Rattus norvegicus: one gene and its partners. The protein of the gene in region 4 purifies or fractionates together with the protein of the main gene of each other region. This does not show direct contact. Links are inferred from orthologs where the notes say so. Each region holds a gene or a part of one and is shown on either strand. Other genes may lie near its edges.

Region 1 (4,308 bases), on a different chromosome or scaffold from region 4:
CACAATGTCTTCCCGACGAGGCCCACCTGCTGGCTCAGAGGCTTTCCGATGTACCGCATCTACTGCCAGTTCAAACTACAAAAGCCCCATTCCCAACATTCCAGGGTCAGTATCAAAGGGAGGAAAAGATGGCTTCTCTCAAAGCTTTCTAGTCTTTCAACATCAAATTCTCATGTTGTTCTGCATTTCTCAACATCAGCCAGAGAACTTAGCAAAAGCCTCAAAACTGCCTGCTCTCAACCCTACACAAACCTCAATTGCACTCTCATACACAGCTTCAGAAACTCCACGATTTGAGTACACTGACCTTTGAGCTCAGCGTCTTGAAAATGCCCTCATAAGTGGTGCCATTTTTCACTTTTACATCACAGGTAGAACCCTAGCAAGGTGAAAGATTAAGTCACTTTAAAAAACTGAAACAGCATATTCCTCAGACACCCAACGTTAAAGCTCTCACTTACCACTACAGCTGTCAGGAAATGCAGCATCCTGGAATTGTTATAGACACCTTCAAACACCTGTCACACAAGAAAAAAGCAAAGGGCAGCAGGTGAATACTCTTTCTTCCCAGACTGTCCCACCCTATGTCTTCTGAGTCTTTACAAGAGGAAAAAAAGGCACTCACTGGTGACTGTGGGGGTCCCTTTCCGGTGGTCTGTCCCCTGTTAAAGAGAGAAACTAGTTTTAATTAACAGTGAACCCTAGAACAATGTACCATGTCAACTTGCTGATTTAGGCTACGGGCTGATTAACAAATGCTCACATTAAAGAGGAAAGCAGGAATTACTTGCTAAAACATTTTCTCCAAATTCAAGATTTTAAAAAGCCAACAAAAAATTCAATAAACAATAGCTGTCAAATGCGGCTAACAGCCAATGCAATACAACCTGACTTCCTCCAAGGGGACTTCACTCTTCCCATAAAACACTGCTGTATTTGTAAACCAACAGCCCAATTCAGTTGTGAAGGTGAAAGCTCGGGCACCCCAAATGCAGCACTACTGAGCTTAGACACATTACCTCCCAAAGGAAAAAAGCACTTTCAGCAGCCTTGGATTCCAAATCCCAGGAGGGGTATACTCTCCACACCCCACCCTTTCGCCCTCATTATTTTCATTCAGCCTGTTACCCACTCTGAAAGGATCCCCAATCGCCAGGTAACACAGCTCCTCGACGGCTGATGTAACCGGCAGTTGAGGAGGGCGAGGAGGGGGCCGTTGGCGGGGCTGGGGGACCGCGCAGCCGCAAAAACCATCCACCGGGATGCCTCGCCCGGTATGCGCCTGCGCACTAAAGCCCATAGCCCTCCACCCGCTCTAGAACAGAAGCCACTGCGCCTGCGTCTAGTGGCTGCTTCTAATCGCATTGACACACCAAGAAAACCGAGGGCACCCACTCCTCACTCACCAACACCAGACGCCCCTAAACCCTCCAACCAACCCCCCCCTCCTCAGTCTTTGCTCTACGTGTTACCGGGGCAAGCCAATGCCCGAGTCATAAGACAGCATCCGCGCGCACGTACGGGCAGGGAGCGCGCGCGCAGGAGCTTCCCAGTCTGCAGTCTTCCCAGTAGCCGCTGCTTCCGCGCCCCCGCCCACTCCGTTCCCCTCTTACTGGCTACACCGGGAAGAGGAGGGAACAATCTGCTCCCAAGTCCCTCCCTTCCCATTGGTCAAACTGTGGGCCGCGCGCCCCCCCTCTATTGGCTACAGCCGGGGACCCCTTCATGCAGCTGACTCCCCATTGGCTGAAACCGGGGACCGCGAGATCCTCCGTGGTAATGGAGCTGGGGACCCCATCACCTCCTCAACCCCCCCAACACCCTTTTCCGACGGAGCTGGCGGGACGCGCCCCGCCTCCCCTCAGGGCCCAGACCCCAAGCGGTGACTAGGCCCAGAGAGCCGAGCACTGCCCCCAGGCTCCTGGAGACCGCCCGGAGATCTTTCTCTCCGACCTGTTGGCACGAGGGTCTACCCCCTCCTTCACGGGGTTCTGGGCCCTAAGAGCCCCTCAACAGCGCCAAGCCCCGGCGCGCCTCCGCCAAAGCCGAGTCGCTGCCACCTGGGCTCTCCCCAGCCAGGAGTCCCGTTCTCACCTGACGCTGCCGATAGCCACTGCCCCTGGCCGTTCTTGATGCTGCTGCGGCGCTGGCGCCGCCAAGATGCTTTCGGCTCCGCGGCGGAGCCCGCTGCCGGCAGCGGCTGCAGGCCCCAGGCACGGAGAGACCACTGTGGGAGGCCCCGGGGGAGCCGCGGTAGCGGGCAGCGGTCCCGGGAGGCCGCCGTTGGGAGGGCTAGTCCCGCCGGGAGGCCGGCGAGCCACGGCCTGTTGCGTGGGGGGCGGCTGCTGGGGCTGGGAGGTCTGTTGTGGCGGCTGAGGCTTCAACATGATGGCAGCGTCCGGAAGAGAAATTAGAGGGAAGGGAAAGAGGGCCTGAGGCTGGGCCCCTGCTGGAGAGCGCGGGAAGCGAGAGAGATCGCCAAGCAGGGGACCCGCCGTTGGCGGGCGGGGGGAGCCCCGCGGTGTCAGGGGTGGATTGAGAAGACGGCGGCGCGAGGAAGCGCCGCGAGGCGGAAGGGGAGGGGGGGATGTCGCGGGCCGGTGGATAGCGAGAGGGCGCGAGCCGGCTTGGCGCGCGTGCGCGTCGCTGGAGAAGGAGAGAGGGAGGAGCGCGGGCGGAAGCGCCGGCGGGGGAGGGGCGCGGGGAGCGCCGCCAGGCGGTTAGTTCCGGAAAGCAGAAGAGGCTCCAGTTGTGGCTCAGACTGGTCTAGCCCTTAGGGCGGAAAAGGAGCCGCGCAGGCGCCTAGAGCACCTCTAGGTTCCGAGCCACCTTAAATACTGGCGGCCGCGGTTGCTTCACAACGAGTGTGGGAGGGGCCAAAGCCAGGAAGGGGAAGTGCCGGTGGACCCGCCCCTCCCACGCCACAAGCGTAACGTCAGAAAGTCTCCGCGGTGGTGTGAGGTATCACGTCGTAGCGTGAGGTTCTTCCGCCACTGGGTGAGCGGTGGGCGGAGTCTCGTGGGCCAAAAAAAAAAAAAAAAAAAAAAAAAACCCTAGGACAAACCTAGTACAGGTAACTTTAAGGCAGGTGGGTTTTTAAATATGCTGTTCTCCATCTTACCTCCTTTAGAATATTAATGAGCATTAGAATGACTACTTGAGCGTAAGTGCATCCTAACAAAGGTGTCCAATTTGAAACTGAAATTCAGTGACTTTTTCTGGGATAGTGAAATCCAGAACAGTAACAATACAGGCAGTCTGGAGGCTAGACTTCTAAGAGTATATTACAGAACCCAGCCCAGGCTGCATAGCAAGACACTGTCGGAGAATCGTGGTACAATGCTTGCCTATAAAGGCAGCCGTCATTCAAAATGAGGGCAGCTGTGGTGGTTCACAACTTCAATCCCAGCACTAGGAAGGAAGGGTAGGAGGATCAGAAGTTTGAGGCCAGCCTGGATTATATAAGTTCCAGGTCAGCTGGGCAGACCTTGTTTCAGAAGGAAGACAAGTTGAACATTGGTCCATGCTTTGGGCACAAGGGTAACTAAGAAACTCAAAGCTCAAAGTAGTGCAAGATTTATATAATTTGACCAGAGGTACTTGGTAAAACAGAGCAGGAAAATGGATTTCTATACAGGTGGAATAGATCTGACAGCTTGGATGGAGCCTGAAAGTCTCACTATTTCCTTTAGCTGGCTTTCACCTCCCTGTGCCAACCAGGGTGGTCTTAAACTTACAGAGATCTGTCTGCCTTCTTCCTAAGTGCTAGGATTAAGACATACATCATCGGGGCTGGGGATTTAGCTCAGTGGTAGAGCGCTTACCTAGGAAGCGCAAGGCCCTGGGTTCAGTCCCCAGCTCCGAAAAAAAGAACCAAAAAAAAAAAAAAAGACATACATCATCACACCCAGGTTTTGTCATGGAATGTTAACCTAAAATCCTACTATTGGTGAACACAATTCAAAAATTAAATATAGGATTGGGTGGACACTAACAAACTGAACATAGTTGTATAGATGAGTCCAAATCTACATTTAGATTAATAACCCATTGGAGGCAGAAAAATGGAATTAATTAAAGTCATCCCTACATATTTAGTTTAAGGCCAGCAGGTCAGGTGAGACTTGGCACACACTTCCCAAAAGGTATGCGAGCAGGGGAAAGATAAATAGATCATTTGGTAGCAGTGTACAAAATAAAAATTTGTGTACTCTGTGTGTGTGTGTGTGTGTGTGTTTGACCTCACAGGCCAGACGCTGGCATCAGGTCCCCTGGGACTGGAATTAGCAAATGTAAGCTGCCATGTGG
Region 2 (4,302 bases), on a different chromosome or scaffold from region 4:
TACTAACACAAGCACTACACACACACACTTATTAACACAAGCACTACACACACACTTACTAACACAAGCACTACACACACACACACTTACTAACACAAGCACTACACACACACACACACACACACACACACACACACACACACACACGAAAAGCGCAGCAGTTGGGGAGGGGTGCTTCAGGCTTACTCTGATTGGATGTTGCTGTCTAGAAAGCAGGAGAAGGGCTGGAAGCAGGGAGTCATTGGCTTAGAGAGCGTATTTGGCTTTCTCTGATTGGTCTCAAGTTGGAAGCAGCGGTAAAAAATATGGAAGCTGCTAGTCACTGACTACGAGTATTGACTGTTCAGGACCCCTTAACGAGTGATCTAGTATGGAGTCGTATTGTCACAAATGATTTGACCATTGTCAGTATTTCCAGCCCTCCAGCAGCGTAGGACGCAGGTTTTTCACTTCGGCCCAGCTCGATTTTTACTTAACACACAAGAAATGTTTGTTTTACTTGAAACAAGACTGCTTTCTAGGTTAAGGATAAGACCTCAGGATCTGAGAATCATAGAAACAAATGCACAGATAGCTGTCTGCAGTGAGGGTCAGGCAGCAGAATCTACTGGTTTCCCATTTTCACAGCGAGACCTCCCTCGTAGAGGCGACCCGCCCTTCTTTCTAGAAGAGTGCCACTGCCGGCAGGAGCAAAGGGTCACCTCGCCTGCACTCTGGGCTTGGTAGCCCACGACCTAGGGCGGGCTCCCGGTTCACGCTTTCCCCGCTGCCTCGCCGACAGCCTCGGCCCTTCAGGCCCAATTTTTCTGCACGTCCCTGGGTGGAGGTGCGCCCTGGCCTCGCAGCAGCCTCCCGGCCACCCCAGGTCAGCTTCCGGACCGGCGCAGGCTGCCCTCCGAGCGCGTCCCCGGTCAGCAGTCAGCAGGCGTCCCCTCCGCCCGGCCCGGCCAGCCCAGCTCAGGAGGGACGAAGGCAAGGACGACACTCCCCGGCCACCATTCATTTCCCCACTGGTCTCCTCAGCTCTGCAGGCAAGCTCTCCAGTCCGTCCGTCCGTCCGTCTGTCCGTCCGTCCGTCCTTCCCGAAAACAGCCCCGTGTTTCCCTGAGCTCGGTCCCATCAGTAACGAGTCTCTCCCGACCCTCGCCCGCCGCGCCCAGGAAGCCGTGACGCCGCGGCGGCTGCAGCGGCGGAGCTCTCGCCATCTTGTGTGGAGGAGGAGCCGCAGCCGCCGCCATGCGGAGAGGCTGGGAAGGAGGGAGGGAGACGACAGCGGCGGGCGAGGGAGGGGGCAGAGCAGCAGAGTCAGCTCCGCTCAGCGGCGACATCCGGGGCGCCGGCACAGCGGGCTACGGCCGAGGTAGCGCGGGACGGCAGCGGCGGCGGCGGCGCGGGCGGCGAGCGGCGCGGCGGGGGCGGGGCGGCGGGCGTAGCGGCGAGGGGCCGGGTGGGGGCGGGCGGAGGTTTCCGAGGAGGAAGGAGCCGCCGCCATTTTGGGAGCTTCGAGTCAACAATAAAGGACCGAGGGTGCGGAGCGGGAGTGGCCTGGGTGGTAGGACTCGGGCCCGAGCCGCGGGGCGTGGGGTGAGGCGGTGTGGTCGGGGTCGGTAGGGCCCTGAGGGTCGCGGGGAGCCCCCTCGGGCGGGAGTCAGGGCGCGCTTGGGGCGGAAGCCCGAGGCCCAGGCCTGGCCCGGGAGGACGGGCGGGTGGCCGCTGAGAGGAGCAGCGGCGGCGGCGGAGAGGAGTGGAACCGAGGAATGTGGTGTGTGCCCGGTCTGGAGGAGGAGCGGTGGAGTGCTCTGGGCGAGCGGTGTGGTAGACGGGAGCGGGGACGGAGCGGCGGCCGGGACTCCGGAGTGAGGTTGGGAGTGCGAGGCAGCCCTGTTGGGGGCGGCAGGGCTGTGCTGTCCGGAGACTGGGCTAGGAGAGGACCCGCAGCTGCTCGGTTGCAAGTAGGCCTTGCAGGTTGGTGGGAACATAGGGTTTGGGGAGACTCAGCGGCGTAAGAGGAAAGGGGAGGCGGTCCAGTTTTTGGGGTTCTCTTCCGGGCCTTCTGAGGGGAGTCCCTATTGTTTCCCACTCGCAGAGCTGGTTCCGGCTCTTGTGGCGCAGATAGATTGCAGGGCAGAAAAAAACCCTTTTGCGTTTTGATCTGAAGGAGCTGGATTTGTAGAGTGTAGTTGGGGGAGGGGGAGAGGAATTATTGCCCTACGGTTACTGGACTCCGAGTCTTAGCTTGGTTTTTCCTTTTCCATAGCCCCCCTTTTCCTTCAGAAAAACCCCAATCACTCCAACTTCCTGCTGAGGCTTAGAGAAATCGCGCTGTATTTGCAAACAAAAGCCCTTGTTGGAGCTTATGGTACTGTTTTAGGTGTGAAACTGTCAATTGCTAACCACGGTCTGGGCCGTGCTGTAATTAACTCTGCCAGGGGCTCCTCCCAGCTAAGTCTACGTTCCTTCGTGGTTTTGTTTTAAGACTATAACTTGCAAATCTAAATTGGGAAGGGGTAGGACGAATATTTCCCCAACTGAGACATAAAACTGCAGTGCAGGTATCTGTTTCTGGAGAGAGCAGTTATCGAAGTCTCTGGGTTTAAGGCACTGGGTCTTACTGGGCTTGATTGACAGTACTGATGGTGTCCGTTAGTATTCAGAGGTTGCCCCCTTCAGCCTCTTAGTGCTGTACAAATAGGAAGCCTTCCTGTTTGACGTACCTCATACTGTTGATCATATGCTGTCAATACAGAAAATGCCTATTAACAGAACAAATAAACAGCTTTATGTGATAAGCAGCATTTGTGAGCAAGTTGATATATAACGAGATATCCTTTGACTTGAAAATTTTGGGTTTGGGACACTTGGTGTGTGGCAAAGATAACTAGCACTAATTAAGCTAGTGTTTTGGGAACCAGTGAAATAATGTAAGGGGGTTACAAAATAAAACTGAACGAGTTGGGCTTATACTGGTCCTTAGTAATTTTTTATTTGCCAAATTTTGAGAATTCCATTTGGGGAACAATTTAAAGTAGAGGAGGTTGACCAACTCTTTCTTAAAAATAACTTAATTAGACTCGCTATTCAGGGTGATTTGGGAGAATTTTATTAAAACTACAAGTTTAGCCCTCTGGTTTTTCTTTCCCCTTTTACTATAGGACACACACACACACACACACACACACACACACACACACACACGTACGTACGTACGTTTAAACTTTTTTATTTTTCCTTTTCTTTTTTTCGGAGCTGGGGATCGAACCCAGGGCCTTGGGCTTGCTACGCAAGCCCTCTACCACTGAGCTAAATCCCCAACCCCTAAACTTTATTTTAAATTAGGACATACTTTTTGAAAAGTGTTATAGTAAAAGGCAACACTAACAGCTTTCATTCAACTTTTGGTATTGGGGCTTTCTTTTTTCTTTGCCCCCCCCCCTCCAGTTGAAGAGAATCTTAGAGTTTTTCAAGCAGAAGATTTTTGATATGTAGACTGCTCCATACAGATCTTTTGACTGCTTCAATTATTTTGGTCAGGACAAAATTCAATAAAAAAAAATTGATTTCTGTAATTGAAACTGGTAAGAAGACTTCGTATTTGAAAAGTCTTTTCATTTAAAGGTTTTTGTGTTGCTGTCAGAAATAGAAAGATGTTAGTGAATTGTCTTGTTCAAATCTAGATGTACATGAGGTAAATTGAGTGATATTTCAAGTTTTAATGTAATTAAATGTAATGACATTTAGAGGGGGCAGGACTTGGAGAGAATTCATTAGGAGATTGAAGAACAGATTGTTATTTGAGAATGAATTTGAATTTTATCAATAGTATCTTCCTGCCTTTTTTTCCCCCTAAGTTGCTTTGTTCTTGCAATTTTAAATGTTTGAGGTTGGATTTTTCGTAGGTTGGGTTTTTAAGGCAGTTCTTCGCTATGTCTTTCCTATGTCAAGTAGTGATCTGGTTTGAGTATGTCGATTAGTGGTTCTTGAGAAGATGACCATTGCAGAGGAGTTCTTTAAAAGGGAACAATTTCTCCCCCTGACTTTGTGGTCTGCTAATTTAATTTTTTTCTTTGTTTCAGATTGAAGTGAGTGAATTCAGATATAATTCAAGCTTGTTAGAGCGCTTTAAAAAAATACAAAGTTGATTCGTTGCTTGAGAGCAAGTTAACTACTGCTGCTTACCGGTGAGAGACTTACAGGTGCTTGCCTGAATTGCAATAAAGGACTCATATATTGAGCAAGACTTATTTATCTCTTCATTTTGGAGAGCCTCATAAACTGTTATTACAGTTTCTCTACTGACTTTGA
Region 3 (3,954 bases), about 25 Mb from region 4:
AGGTAAAGGGTGGCAGCTGGTGCTGGGTTTAAAAGTGCATCTGCACAGTTCCCCCCATGAGGTTAGTAAATATTGTAATATCAAATGGATATTATTGGGAGGGGGACTTAGTCATCATTAGTATTCCCTGCTCTTGACATCCCTTCTCTCGTATGTTTGTATGTATGTATGTATGTATGTATGTTTCTCCTGGTGCTGAGACTTGAACCCAGGCCTTGAGGATATGAACTCTATAGCTGAGCTACATCCCAGAGCTGTTCTTACTTTTACTTGGCTTTCTGATCACAGGGTTACTATTATTTATTTAGATACTCTAGGTCATGCATGTAGGCATTATCTCATTTAAGCCTCCTTACTGCCTTAGGAGGCAAATGTTATTATCTGATATAGGTCAGTAAATAGCACCTTTGTTAGACTCAAAACCGTGGCTTTGCCAGTTGTGAGATCCTGACAATTTTTTTTTTTTTTTTGGTCTTTTTTTCGGAGCTGGGGACCGAACCCAGGGCCTTGTGCTTCCTAGGCAAGTGCTCTACCACTGAGCTAAATCCCCAGCCCCAGATCCTGACAATTTTAAGAGTTTTCTTTAGCTGTAAAATGAGGATATTGATTCCTTCCTTGAGGGGCTGCCAGATGTTGAATAAGTGGTATTTACATCCCACTGAAGAAACATAAGTTTGATAATTTGCTTAAGGTTATATTATTTGGTAAACAGCCTCAGGTTCTAGTTTGCCTAACCTTACAGCTAAAGCTTTTTGTACGAGTACTTTATAATTGGTTATAATCATTTTGAGTGAGTCCTGCTAAGTCCTGTGAGCTTCTGGTTGTTCGTATGCAAATGAGGATAATATTTTATAGAGTTCATTCATTAAACGTTTTTGCGTAAGGTGTGGGCTTAAGCGAGACTCCAGGTGCTTTCTCTTTCTCCATTTCGTCCATTTCTTCTTTACATGCATTTATTTCCTTAGCTTCCAAAAGAGCCGTGCAAGTACTTAGCCAAGCAGACCAGCGGCCGCACATTTTTACTGTACTCTAGATTCCCCTTTATTTCCTCTTCACCTAGGCTCCCGCCCCACCCAGCGCCAGACCACGCCCCTGCGCGTGACGTCAGTACGCCTCGTGCGTCGCGTCGCGGCGCTTGCTGGGGGCCCGGCTTTCGCCCGCTGCTGCCGCCGCCGCCGCCGGCCGCGGCTGCTCTCCCAAGATGGCGGCTCCTCCGGGCGAGTACTTCAGCGTTGGGAGCCAGGTGTCGTGCCGGACGTGCCAGGAGCAGCGGCTGCAGGGCGAGGTGGTAGCCTTCGACTACCAGTCCAAAATGCTGGCTCTAAGTATCCTTCTCTGCGTGGACCCCGAGGCCGGGCCGGCGTGTAGGTGCGGTGGTGGGGGGGCGGGGGACGGCGGCGGCAGCTAGGGCCCTCTCCCGGCCTAGGGGCGACCGGCTACCGCGGTGCCCCGGGCGCATGCGCACGGCTCTGAACTCCCCTCCCCCTCCCGCGGGCCTTTCGGTCCATTTTGGGGACCCTTGTCTCCCACCCCTTGTGGGAGCTAGGCCCCGACTGAGGGTTGGTAGGTGGAGCAGGGCTTGACACGCGCCTGGCTTTTCGGGAGGGGACGATGTGTTAAGGGGACTCCGTGATTAAGGGAGGGGGATAGTGGTAAGGAGAGGGCTGGAGATTGGAGCCCGGATGGAGTGGGGAGCGGTAACATGCTATGGGGAGGGGTGTGTAGGGTCAGGAACTGCTAGTAGGGTAAGGGTATAGATTGCTGATGAGATTTGATTCAAGAAAGGGCGGTGGTGGGATGGTGGTCTAATGGGCCTTGCCAGTTTGGGGATGGGAAGTGCAGGACAGAGTTTGTATTTGAACTGGTGGCTAATTTTGCTGGAGTCATGTATGCTTGGTGTCACTGTGCTGACTTTAAGGTTCTCAGTCATTTGAAAATCGCTGCTTAGGGGGTGTTGGAAGCCTGGTCTAAAGAGGACTTGCCACGTTTTGCAGGGGCTTATATATGATAGTGTGTGGGCTTCTGTTCAGTTCAACACATTCCGTAATAACGTCCTTCTCCTTGAAAGTACCAGTGTTAAACTGCATGGAAGAGGTGGCCCTGTTCCTTTGGGGTGGGAATGATTGCTGAATTACTCCACCAACTCACTGTTGGAAAACAAAACACTTCCTGGTTGGAATAAATGAACCTCTGCCTCCCCCTTTATTTGAGCTACAGGTGGGTTTACTCGAATTATTTTTAGAAGGTAGCCTCTGTCGGAGTTTCTTATTGTGAGTTGTTGGTTTCCAGCTCAGAAAGATCTCTTGGTGAATGCCATACAATAAGAACAATTTCTTTTTGTATGTGTTATTTTAAAAACAAGAGATCATACTTGGCCTAAAGGCTCTTCCTTTGGTGACTTAGTTGGAAGAGTCTTTTTTTTTTTTTTTTGAAACTTTTTTTTTTTTTTTTTTTTAGAGCTGGGGACCGAACCCAGGGCCTTGCGCTCGCTAGGCAAGCGCTCTACCGCTGAGCTAAATCCCCAACCCCTTTTTGAAACATTTTATTTATTCATCTTATATATGACGAGTACATTGTCACTGTCTTCAGACACACCAGAAGAGGGCATCGGATCTCGTTACAGATGGTTGTGAGCCACCATGTGGTTGCTGGGATTTGAACTCATGACTTCTGGAAGAGCAGTCAGTTCTCTTAACCGCTGAGCCAACTCTCCAGCCCTGGAAGAATCTTAAAAGGAAGACTCACTCTTTTTATTTGACATACAGCAGGGTCTTAGTAAATGGTTGGAAAATGAATGAATGGGTGGATGAATGAATAAGGTCTCATTTTAGGTAGTTTCCTTCCCAATGGTGTACTTTTTGCCTCTGAAAAATGGGAAATTTCAAGTGTGAAAAAGAAATTGGAAAGAAAGAAAGGAAAAGCATGAAATCTGAATAAGTGAGAAGCACTGTCTAGATTTAGGGAGATTCTAGTATGACCCCAAACTTCAAAACACTGGTGCCTCTTTATAGTTCCTAAGTTTAAGACAAGCAGTGCATCTGACATCAAGACTGTATTTCTTCCCCTAAAACCCATTTAGAAAGTGACAGGAACCCTTTTGAAGGTTTCAATTTCTGGCTGTATATGGCTTTAAAAATTTTGAGATCCTTTGCTTTGAGCAGGAGCAAGTTGATGGGGGTTTATTGAGAGCTAAGATTCCTATGAGGCTCGCTCGGGGATGCCTTTCCTATACACTGGTATAGTTTTCTTCTTTGTGTGTATGTTGGTGTGTGTGTGTGTATGTGTGTGTGTGTGTATGTGTGTGTGTGTGTGTGTGTGTGTGTGTGTGTGTGTGTGTGTGTGTGTGTATGTATGTAGTTTTTGGAGATAGAGTTTCTCTGTGTAGCCCTGGTTGTCCTTTAACTCCCTCAGTGGTTCAGCTGGCCTCAAACTCACAGACATCTGATTGCCTGTGCCTCCCCCAAGTGCTGGGATTAAAGGTGCAGGACACCACCGGCCTCCTGCCTGGATCGTTGTGTATACTACTTGTGCAGTGTGCCTTTGTCCTATTTTCCTTAACTTTATTTTCTCACCAGAATGTCCCTCTTCCAGTGGAAAGCCCAACCATGCAGACATCTTGCTTATAAACTTACAGTATGTTTCAGAAGTGGAAATAATTAACGATCGAACAGAAACCCCTCCTCCCCTAGCTTCACTCAATGTTAGTAAGGTAAGAACTCAAGGACATTCTCGATGTCTGAAATGTTGGGAAGGAGGGATGCTCTCCAGCTTTTGAGGATGTATGCATTGTTCTGTGCTTTTTTTTTTTTTAAACCTACTTACGACCCTGGTGTTCTGTTTCATTTCTTGGGGTGGGGACTACTCTCTCTTCTTCCTTTTTGAGACAGATTCTTGTGTATTTTATGTAACCTTGAACTTCAGATTTTCCTGACTCTGCCATCCAAGTGCTGGGAT
Region 4 (4,209 bases):
TCTCAAAACCAACCAAACAAACAAACCAACCAAGACAACAAAACAAAATAAATACAAAAGATGGTAAACTTTACATTTAAAATTTCCCTTGTATTACGTAGATGTGTATGCATTATATGTATAATTTAAATGAATTATAAAGCAAGCATTCATGTAATAGCACATTGGCTGGGTGTGCTGGTATGTAGGACTTTAATCCTAGCACTCATGAGGCAGAAGCAGGGGGAACCTCTTAGTTGGCCAGACACTTCTACAAAGGTAGTTCCAAGTCAATCAGGGTTACATAGATGCTGTTTCAAAACCAATCCAATCCAAAACACACAAACAAAACTCCCAGTCAACACCCACCCCTAATATACTAAGAGGGTGCCGCGTGTCTGTCCTCATCACAACCTTCTTCCTTCCTATCATAACAGGTTGAATTAACAGCATAAAATGCAAATATGCCTTTAAATTTCAATGTTTTCTTTCAATTTAAAGCAAAAAATGTAAAAAAACCCAAAACTTAAAGAACTTTTAAAGATTTTCTTTCTCCTTTCCTTCACTTTTGAAAGTCTTATCCTAAAACCTATTTTGGTTTCATAGTTGACCTCACCTGCAGTGTTTAATTAAAAAAACAAAACAACAAAAAACTTCAGTGTAGATTTTTCATTCCTCTCTCTCTCTTGCCTTCAACTACAAAGAAACAATGATTTAAGCCCTTTGTGCCCTTTTAGAAAATTACACAGATACCCTATTGTGGAACCCTATAATCCCTCCGTGGAAAGGAAGAGATTAGCATATGAATACAAAGCAAAATGAATCCAGAATACAAAACGATCTATCGAGTTGTGAGGCTCTTGTATTCTTAAAAATGTATTTATTTCCTCTTTTTTTGTATTGCCCCTTTCGTGGTTTAAGGGTTAAGGAAATTGAGACCCCCCCCCGCCTCCCTCCCCCTCGACTACCCGGAAAAGAATTAAACACACACACACACACACACACACACACACACACACACACACACACCCCAACATATTCTAGGAGGTGCAAAACCAACAGATGGCTCCTAGCGCCAGTAGAATCCTCAGTGGAATCTGCTACACTCGACATCAGCTTGCTCGCTGTGAGGAGTGTAGAAAGTGCTGTTCGCTAACTGCGTGGTGAAGGAGAGAAAGCGATAGAAGAGAGAGCCATAATGCTGACGTTGAAGGCCCGGCCCTGTGAGGTTGCATAGGGTAAGTGGCGTTGGCCAGGCGGCGGTGGCGAAGGGGAAGGGAAGAGGATTTGGGCTAGGGGCGGGGCTTGACGCGCAGCGTGGCTCCTGATTGCTGGAGCGCGGCTGCCAATCTCGCAGATCCGCTCGCTTAACCAGTGCGCTGGCGAGACGCGCTCAGATATACTGAGCGAGCGCGGAGAAGCAGTCTCAGATCCTGACGGTGCAGCAGCCCGCAGCCTCAGCCAGGGAGTCCCAGCCGCTTTCAATGGAGGAGAAGCCCGGCCAGCCACAGCCTCAGCACCATCACAGCCACCACCATCCGCACCATCACCCCCAGCAGCAGCAACAGCAGTCGCACCACCACCACCATTATTATTTCTACAACCACAGCCACAACCACCACCACCACCACCATCACCAGCAGCCTCACCAATACCTGCAGCATGGAGCCGAGGGCAGCCCCAAGGCCCAGCCCAAGCCGCTGAAACATGAGCAGAAACACACCCTCCAGCAGCACCAGGAAACGCCGAAGAAGAAAACAGGTCTGAGAGGGAGGGCGGTGGGGGAAGGGGACTGGGTTGGGGGGAAGGGATGGGGGTGGGGCTAGATGTGAAAAGCGCGGACCCGGTCGGGGTGTGCGTCCCGCCGGGCCGGGGATGCCCCCTTCTATTCTTCCCGGGCGCGGGCCGCGAGGTGGGGATTGCAGCGCCCTCTCCTTCCCTTTAGCATGGGAGAGGCCCAGTCAGGCCAGCGTGACCTTCCTCGGCCCCCGCCCCGGCCGGAGGCAGACCTGTACGGTCGGCCTTGGAAGTCCAGCCTTATTTTTCCCTCTAGTGCGGCCCTGGAGTTGCCTGAATGTGGGGGCCCTAAGAAGGGGTGAAACTCATCTGTCCTAAAAAAAAAAAAAAATCCCTTGAGGTGTCTGTAATCCAGGCCTAGTGAATTCCGGTTCGGGTGGTGTCGCGAGACCCGCTTGCAGGCGGCGAGGAGCGGGGCTGAGGGCTGAGTTGAGGAAGCGTCCTCCCTCACCCGCCACCCCAAGCCCACCTGTGGCCTTGGGGTTTGCTGTCCTGGGGGGGGTAGGCTGGGACCCCATCGTCCCTCGGGTCTTTTCTATCCCTAAATGCCCATCTTGGGCTCCGGACCCCGCTGTCTATCCGCGAGGCACCTCCAGAGGCCGGCGCCCCTGGCCCGCTCGCCTCGGAGCCGGCGAGGCTGGAATGTTCTCTTCTCCTCGCGGGGCCGCTTCCTGTCCGCCATGTTGGAAGCCGATTCCTGTCACCGACTCTGGCCGGCTGAGGAGCGGAGGGGGAAGGGTGCGGAAGGCCACACGGGACGCTGGCACCGCTGCCCCGGGACCCTGTGCAGCCCTCTTCAGGTCCCCCGCACTGCGGGCGGCCGCCGCCCGCCGCCCCTCCCCCCGCCCCGCGCCGGGTTGTGTAACCCGGTGGCGGCCGCGCGGCCCCGGGCGGGTCCCTGGGGTGAGGGGCGGGGGCGGTTGGGGTGGGGGAGGGAAGCGGCCACGAGGGGAGCGGCCTGCACCGTGGACTCGCGCGCCGACGGCCGCGTTTCCCGCTCCCGGGTGCGGCGGGAGGCGCGGGCGGCCGGGAGGGAGCGGGCCTCGAAGAGGAGCTAGAGGGGGAAGGAGGCCCGGGCGGCGGCCCCAGCGTTCCGCCGGCCTGCGAGGGGCGAGGGGATTCATTTTGGGTAGAGGCGGTGCCTGAGGCCTGGTGGGGTACACAGCGGGAACCAAGCTCCCGGGTCACGAGTTTCTCTGCCACAGGAATCTCATCTCCTGCCAGGTTCGCTCACGACTCCGCCTCAGAGGCTTTTTCACTTAGGCCTTTTTCTTTATAGCAGCGCATTTCCTACCCAAGGAGGGTGGGGGGCCCGGCAACCTCTCAAACCTTACTCCATTGGTTTTTCCACTCAACACCTACTAAACTTGTGAGCTGGGTTAGTGACTGTAGGAGGGATTAATCAGATGTTCGATTGGATGGACAACACGGGCAGTTTTGGGTTCCCTGTTTCTTTAACGATGAACTGGAAAGGAAGTGACTTGTCCATGCGGTTGTCACTAATCCCTTACCTTGGACAAGACCTTTTTGGTTAAAGTGAGAGGTGTTTTTGGTGCATTTTAAAACCGACTTCTATCCCCAAACTGAATGTTATTTAACATATTAAACGTGGAGTCTTGAAATATTTAAAAAATAAGCATCAAAGTTTATATATAAGCACATTAAAGTGCTTTTTTTTTTTAAACTGAAAAGGGAATGCTTAGAAAAATGTTAAACTTAGCCTATCATATAATACAAGTAGTTACTGGTGAAAAACTTAGTGTAGACCGTAAGTTATTTGAAGACACCTGGATGGATATCAGATTTTCTTTTATAAGGTGGTAGGGACTGATGATGGAGCAGAAATGTTTAATTGTAAGGATTTACAGCAGCTTAGAGACTTAGGAATTATGTAACTGCATTGGTTTTGGTTTTTCAGAAGGTGAGAAAGTGTCAAGGTTGCCAAATGGAACTGTTCAAAGATTTAGAATTTATCTTTTACAAGGTTTGTGTATTCCCCATCGGATTCCTTACTCCATAGAGATGCAGACCTTGAACCATTCATTGAAGGTGGCTGTCCTCAAAATGTCTTAAATTGGGATGAAGAATATTATCAGTTGGGCTGAGTGGCTTTTCCATGTGTAGTTTGGTCATTTTATACAGTGCTAAGAAATCTAGAAAATGTTAGGTACATAACGTAATGGGTTTTTATGAACCATTACTCCCAAACTTAAGTGAAACTGGTTTTCTGTATTCAGAAGTAAGGGCATAGGAGGCCAAACATGTTGAGTAATTGCAATGTCAAATCCAAAAGCTAGATTTATTGGGACTCAAGTTTTACTGAGTCCATTTGAAGTGGAGTTATCATGGCAGCCCCAAATAGTAAAGACACAGGAATTCTTTGCTTTCTGTTATAACTACTATCTTCACATTTTTCTTAAATATCTAAGCTTT
Region 5 (4,120 bases), on a different chromosome or scaffold from region 4:
GATTTTGCTGTCCTCTGCCCATCATCCCCTTAAGCAATTTCACTTAAAAAAACAAAAAGAAAAAAAACCCAAAAAACCAACTAAACTCATTGCAAAAAGTTACCCATTTGCTTCCAATTTAATTACAACACCTTAAAAAAAAAAAAAGGGCTAGTTTGGTGGCCTTCCCGAGTTAAAGTAAAACTTTTTAAAAGGGGTCAAGGTCTAAAGTTGACATTTTTGCGAGGTCTCCAATGAGGGAGACCCCATTATCCACGGTAAGACCCCCATTACCCAGCTCTACCAATCACGTCCATTTCCCTTTGGAGTCGCCTGAAGGAGGAGTAAGACGTTCCAGTGAGGGGAAAAAAGGGTTCAAATGAAGGTCAGATACCCAACAGTTCGCTGGGGTGAATAAAGTGGGGCAAAGTGAAGCAGCTGGCGGTGGCTTCAGTGGTGGCAAGCTTCCCACGCTGGCAGGGAAACCAAGCACGCAGTGGCACCTGGGGGCCTACTGTGTGCCAGGCCCGAATGCAGGTCTCCGCCCCGAAGGCGCCCGCGGGCCATCCTCTATGTTGCATCTGGTGGGGGGGAAACCAAGGTCCCCGAAGGGGGCTGAGGACACCCGGGCAGCCCACGGTGCCCGTCCGCGAAGCAGGGCCAGCGGCCGAAGACAAGCATTCCCTCCTCGAAGGGCAGACCCGCCTCAGCGAGGGCGGATCCCCCACGGCCCTACCCCGACCCCGGAGAGCGAACGCGGCCCAGCGCTGCGCCCGCTCCTCACGTGTCCCCGATCGGCCCCCGAGCCGTCTCACGTTCGACTTCCGCCTGACCCTTCCGACTTCCGGTAAAGAGTCCCCCCCGCTCTGTTTCGCATCTCCGCGCCCTCCAGGCCGCGTCGCCCCGTACGCGTCCGCGAGCCCGGCTCCCATGCGTCCGTCGACAGACGCCGCTCAGCGGCCCGCGGCAGGCCCCGAGCCGCGCCGCCTGTCGGGCTGGGCCGCGCGGCGCTCGCTCCCGCGGACGGCGCGGCGCGGCGGGCGGGGCGGCGCGGTAGCATATCCCTCCGCCGGCCCTCCCCCGCGCGGCCCCGGCGCCCCTCCCCGCGGGCCGCGCTCGCCGCCCTGCGCCTCAGACTGTTTTGGTAGCAACGGCAACGGCGCGTCCCGGCCCGGCTCCCGGCGGCTGTTCGGTGTCTGCGGGCCTCCCCGCCCCTTCGTCGTCGTCCTGCTGCCTCTGGCACCCGCGACCGCGCCAGCCCGCGCCTGCCCGCTCGGCGTCCGCGCGTCCCCGCCGCGCTCCGGCGTCTCCTCAGCGCGCCCGGCTCCCGGCTGTCCCCGCCCGGCGTGCGAGCCGGTGTATGGGCCGCTCACCATGTCGCTGAAGCCGCAGCCGCAGCCGCCCGCGCCCGCCAGTGGCCGCAAGCCCGGCGGCGGCCTGCTCTCGTCGCCCGGCGCCGCGCCGGCCTCGGCCGCGTCGACCTCGTCTTCCGTGGTGCCGGCCCCTGCCGCGCCGGTGGCGTCTTCCTCGGCGGTCGCGGGCGGCGGGCGTCCCGGCCTGGGCAGGTGGGTGTCGGCTCCCCAGCCCCCTCCGCGCCCGCCTGGCCGATCCCGCGCCGCTCGTCCCCTCCCCCGCCTCGCCCCGTGACCGGCCGGCGTAGCGATGGGCCGGGGGCCCGCGGAGGGGCGGGAGGCGCCGGCAGATCCTTCGGGCTTCTCAGGCCGTGTCCAGCCTCCCGCACCATCGCGTCCCCTCCCCCCAGACGGCCAAGATGGACGGCCCGGGCGGCCCCCTGCCCCTCGCGTGTGTGCTAGGGGCGATTGGTCTCCCCGCCCCACCCCCTTGCTGGGTCCCCTGCCTGTGATGGAAGAGCGGCTGAGCCAGGGTGCAGGTCGCAGGGGGACCCTCTCCTGAAATGAGCCTCACTGCTGGGTGGGGAGTCGGGAGGGAGGAGGGGAGATTGAGGCCCAGCCGCCCCAGGTAGGGTCAGCCGGGTGTCCTGCATATTCCCGCCTCGCAGACCCTGGGAAGGTGGGCGACCGAGGCGAGGTGGGTGGCCAGCGGCCTTGCGCACCCATCCCCCTTTAGATCTGGGGCGGCGGGGTTCCCGCAGCGGGCTGTCCTCCCCCAGCTGGGGAAGGGGTGGGAGTGCCCTGCTCCCTCCAGGCCCGCCTCCCTCCTTCCCCGCAAGGTCCCCTGCGCGCGGGTGGTGGCCGATCCGCATTGCTGTTTCTCGTCCGCGGAGCAGAAGGCGCCTTTGAATAGAGGTGGGCGAGGGCCGGACTCGAGAGGTGGGTTGGCGGCGGGCACCGGACACGCAGCTCATTTTCCCTCCCAACCCCTGTCCCAGTTCCTGAAATTTTTAGGGGTGAGGAGCCTCCACAGAGGAGTTGGTGCGGGTCCCGAAGGCAACGACGCGAGTGTTGGCTTGCGCCCTCGGCCCCCTTTCCCCTTCCCTGGGCCCGATTTCGTTGGTAGGAGCTGGAGGAGGCTGGGTGCTGTCCTGTGTGACTGGGCTTGACTCTGGAGGGTGTGTGCGCGCGGGGGTGGGGAGGGGTGGGGGTGCTTGTCAGTTCGTATTTCACGAACTAAGAAAATGCTTAGTGTTAAAACGGAGAGGCAAATGCCAATAGACTCCATTCCATTGTGGCCGGTGTCCTTAACTTGGGAAACGCCGCCGCCAGAGCTTACCAAGGGCATGCAAGTCCATTTCCCCTGTGTCCCTGTGTAACAGGCACTACTGTGCCTCCCTCTGGCCTAGGCCTGGCTGGCAGGGCCTCCTTAAATAGACATCCAGGACTTAGGAGGTGGGCAAGGGGAGTTTTCTTGTTTGGAGTTTTCTTAGCCCCATTGTCCAGCTGTCCATTTCCAGAGAGTTCCTGTACAGCAGAAGTTAACCCGCAGGGTGAATCAGAGCCGGGTTTTAAGGAGTTCTTCTGGGAACAGTATGTGTTTTACTTTATTCCCCCACACTCCCAATTTTCCCAAGCATGAGGCCTTTCAAACCCTTCTTAACCCGCCTCGTTCAAATTAAACCATCATTCTATTTCCACGGTTCTGCGAAGTTAGGGTTTGTAACTTGAGTTTCTTTTCCGTCCTTGACTTTTAGTGAAAAACGAAAAAATATTTAAATTTAACTTTAAGGATACATGTTTTTCTTTGCTTTTTTCATGTTTTAATCTTTGGTTCTCAGGAAGTGGCACGCATTTACGTTTTGTTCAAATACAGATTAAAGTTCCTGAGCCTCGCTTACTCTGTAGGCTTAAACATTAGACTGTGGCTGGCTGGACTCCACAGGGAGGGGCAGGGTATTAGGACCCCTGTCAGTCTCTGCTTTTGAGGCTCTGCAAAAGGGAAGGGCATTTAGAGCCTTCCCTGCTTTAAGTTCTCTTACTTGGCGCATAGGTTTCTTTTTAAGTTTCCTTCGTCCAATGCCTGTGCTCAGAATGGGTACTTTTGTTCTGTACAGAACCTTGGTTAACGCCATCCTCCTGTTCTTACTCTCCTCAGGGTTGTAAATGCATTGTAACTTGTAGAGTTTTGCTTGGGTTTGTGTGTGTCATTTTAAAGTAGGGCTGGCAGCATGGCTGTGGAAGGGCTATGTAGCATCGGGTGGTGGGGTGGCTCAGTGGCCCTTGCGGCCAGGCTTGTCAACCAGGATTCCCACACCTCTGCTGCCACAGCAGGAAGCAACTGACTCCTGCTGCAAGTTGTCCTCTGACCTCCACACCTGCCAGGGCATGTCCCCTCCTCCACAATAAATACACTTGAAAAGTGGCGTTGATGTTGTCATGTTTGAATTAGCAAAATGCACTTTACTGCCGCCTTAAGCACTGTTTCCTTTCTGGACCCTCCCCAACCTGGAACCCCAACCCAGGCCTTGTTTTTGCTCGAAAAGGATTTTGCTACTCAGCCAGCCTGGATCTGACTTGATTTTTGTGTGAACAGAATTTTGTGTGATTTTTGAGAACAGTTTTTTCCCATCATCACTTAGAGGCCACTTTCTTAGAAAAGAACCGTATGTGATCACTTTTTAAAAATCTTACCACAGTTGCACCCGAATCTACTTACTCTTGACTTTGACCTTTCGTGACGTCGTGCTCATGTGTGATGCAGCCTTCTTCCCCTTTAATCTGGTGAC

What was found.
Region 1: the proteins of Nufip2 (region 4) and Atxn2l purify together in Homo sapiens (affinity purification with mass spectrometry; 4 studies listed by BioGRID and IntAct, counting the BioPlex papers as one, with this or other methods). This does not show direct contact. The link is inferred for Rattus norvegicus from reciprocal best matches to the Homo sapiens genes NUFIP2 and ATXN2L.
Region 2: the proteins of Nufip2 (region 4) and Ddx6 purify together in Homo sapiens (affinity purification with mass spectrometry; 6 studies listed by BioGRID and IntAct, counting the BioPlex papers as one, with this or other methods). This does not show direct contact. The link is inferred for Rattus norvegicus from reciprocal best matches to the Homo sapiens genes NUFIP2 and DDX6.
Region 3: the proteins of Nufip2 (region 4) and Lsm12 purify together in Homo sapiens (affinity purification with mass spectrometry; 3 studies listed by BioGRID and IntAct, counting the BioPlex papers as one, with this or other methods). This does not show direct contact. The link is inferred for Rattus norvegicus from reciprocal best matches to the Homo sapiens genes NUFIP2 and LSM12.
Region 5: the proteins of Nufip2 (region 4) and Atxn2 purify together in Homo sapiens (affinity purification with mass spectrometry; 3 studies listed by BioGRID and IntAct, counting the BioPlex papers as one, with this or other methods). This does not show direct contact. The link is inferred for Rattus norvegicus from reciprocal best matches to the Homo sapiens genes NUFIP2 and ATXN2.

The regions. Positions count from the first base shown.
Region 1 is NC_086019.1:190,517,776-190,522,083, forward strand, and holds the start of Atxn2l (ataxin-2-like protein), read right to left. Parts: upstream 2,805-4,308; 5' UTR 2,388-2,804; coding exon 2,095-2,387; intron 1,777-2,094; exon of another isoform or gene 1,685-1,776; intron 1,640-1,684; exon of another isoform or gene 1,508-1,639; coding exon of another isoform or gene 1,473-1,507; intron 1,381-1,472; exon of another isoform or gene 1,366-1,380; coding exon of another isoform or gene 1,020-1,365; intron 663-1,019; coding exon 626-662; intron 519-625; coding exon 462-518; intron 380-461; coding exon 308-379; intron 76-307; coding exon 1-75. UniProt on the Homo sapiens protein: Involved in the regulation of stress granule and P-body formation.
Region 2 is NC_086026.1:53,827,253-53,831,554, forward strand, and holds the start of Ddx6 (probable ATP-dependent RNA helicase DDX6), read left to right. Parts: upstream 1-1,496; 5' UTR 1,497-1,584; intron 1,585-1,623; exon of another isoform or gene 1,624-1,762; intron 1,763-1,825; exon of another isoform or gene 1,826-1,965; intron 1,966-4,073; 5' UTR 4,074-4,302.
Region 3 is NC_086028.1:87,637,752-87,641,705, reverse strand, and holds the start of Lsm12 (protein LSM12), read left to right. Parts: upstream 1-1,149; 5' UTR 1,150-1,201; coding exon 1,202-1,325; intron 1,326-3,575; coding exon 3,576-3,709; intron 3,710-3,954. UniProt on the Homo sapiens protein: Nicotinic acid adenine dinucleotide phosphate (NAADP) binding protein. Confers NAADP sensitivity to the two pore channel complex (TPCs) by acting as TPC accessory protein necessary for NAADP-evoked Ca(2+) release.
Region 4 is NC_086028.1:63,071,990-63,076,198, forward strand, and holds the start of Nufip2 (nuclear FMR1 interacting protein 2), read left to right. Parts: upstream 1-1,407; 5' UTR 1,408-1,463; coding exon 1,464-1,740; intron 1,741-4,209. UniProt on the Homo sapiens protein: Binds RNA.
Region 5 is NC_086030.1:40,506,665-40,510,784, reverse strand, and holds the start of Atxn2 (ataxin-2), read left to right. Parts: upstream 1-1,353; coding exon 1,354-1,544; intron 1,545-1,581; exon of another isoform or gene 1,582-2,246; intron 2,247-4,120. UniProt on the Homo sapiens protein: Involved in EGFR trafficking, acting as negative regulator of endocytic EGFR internalization at the plasma membrane.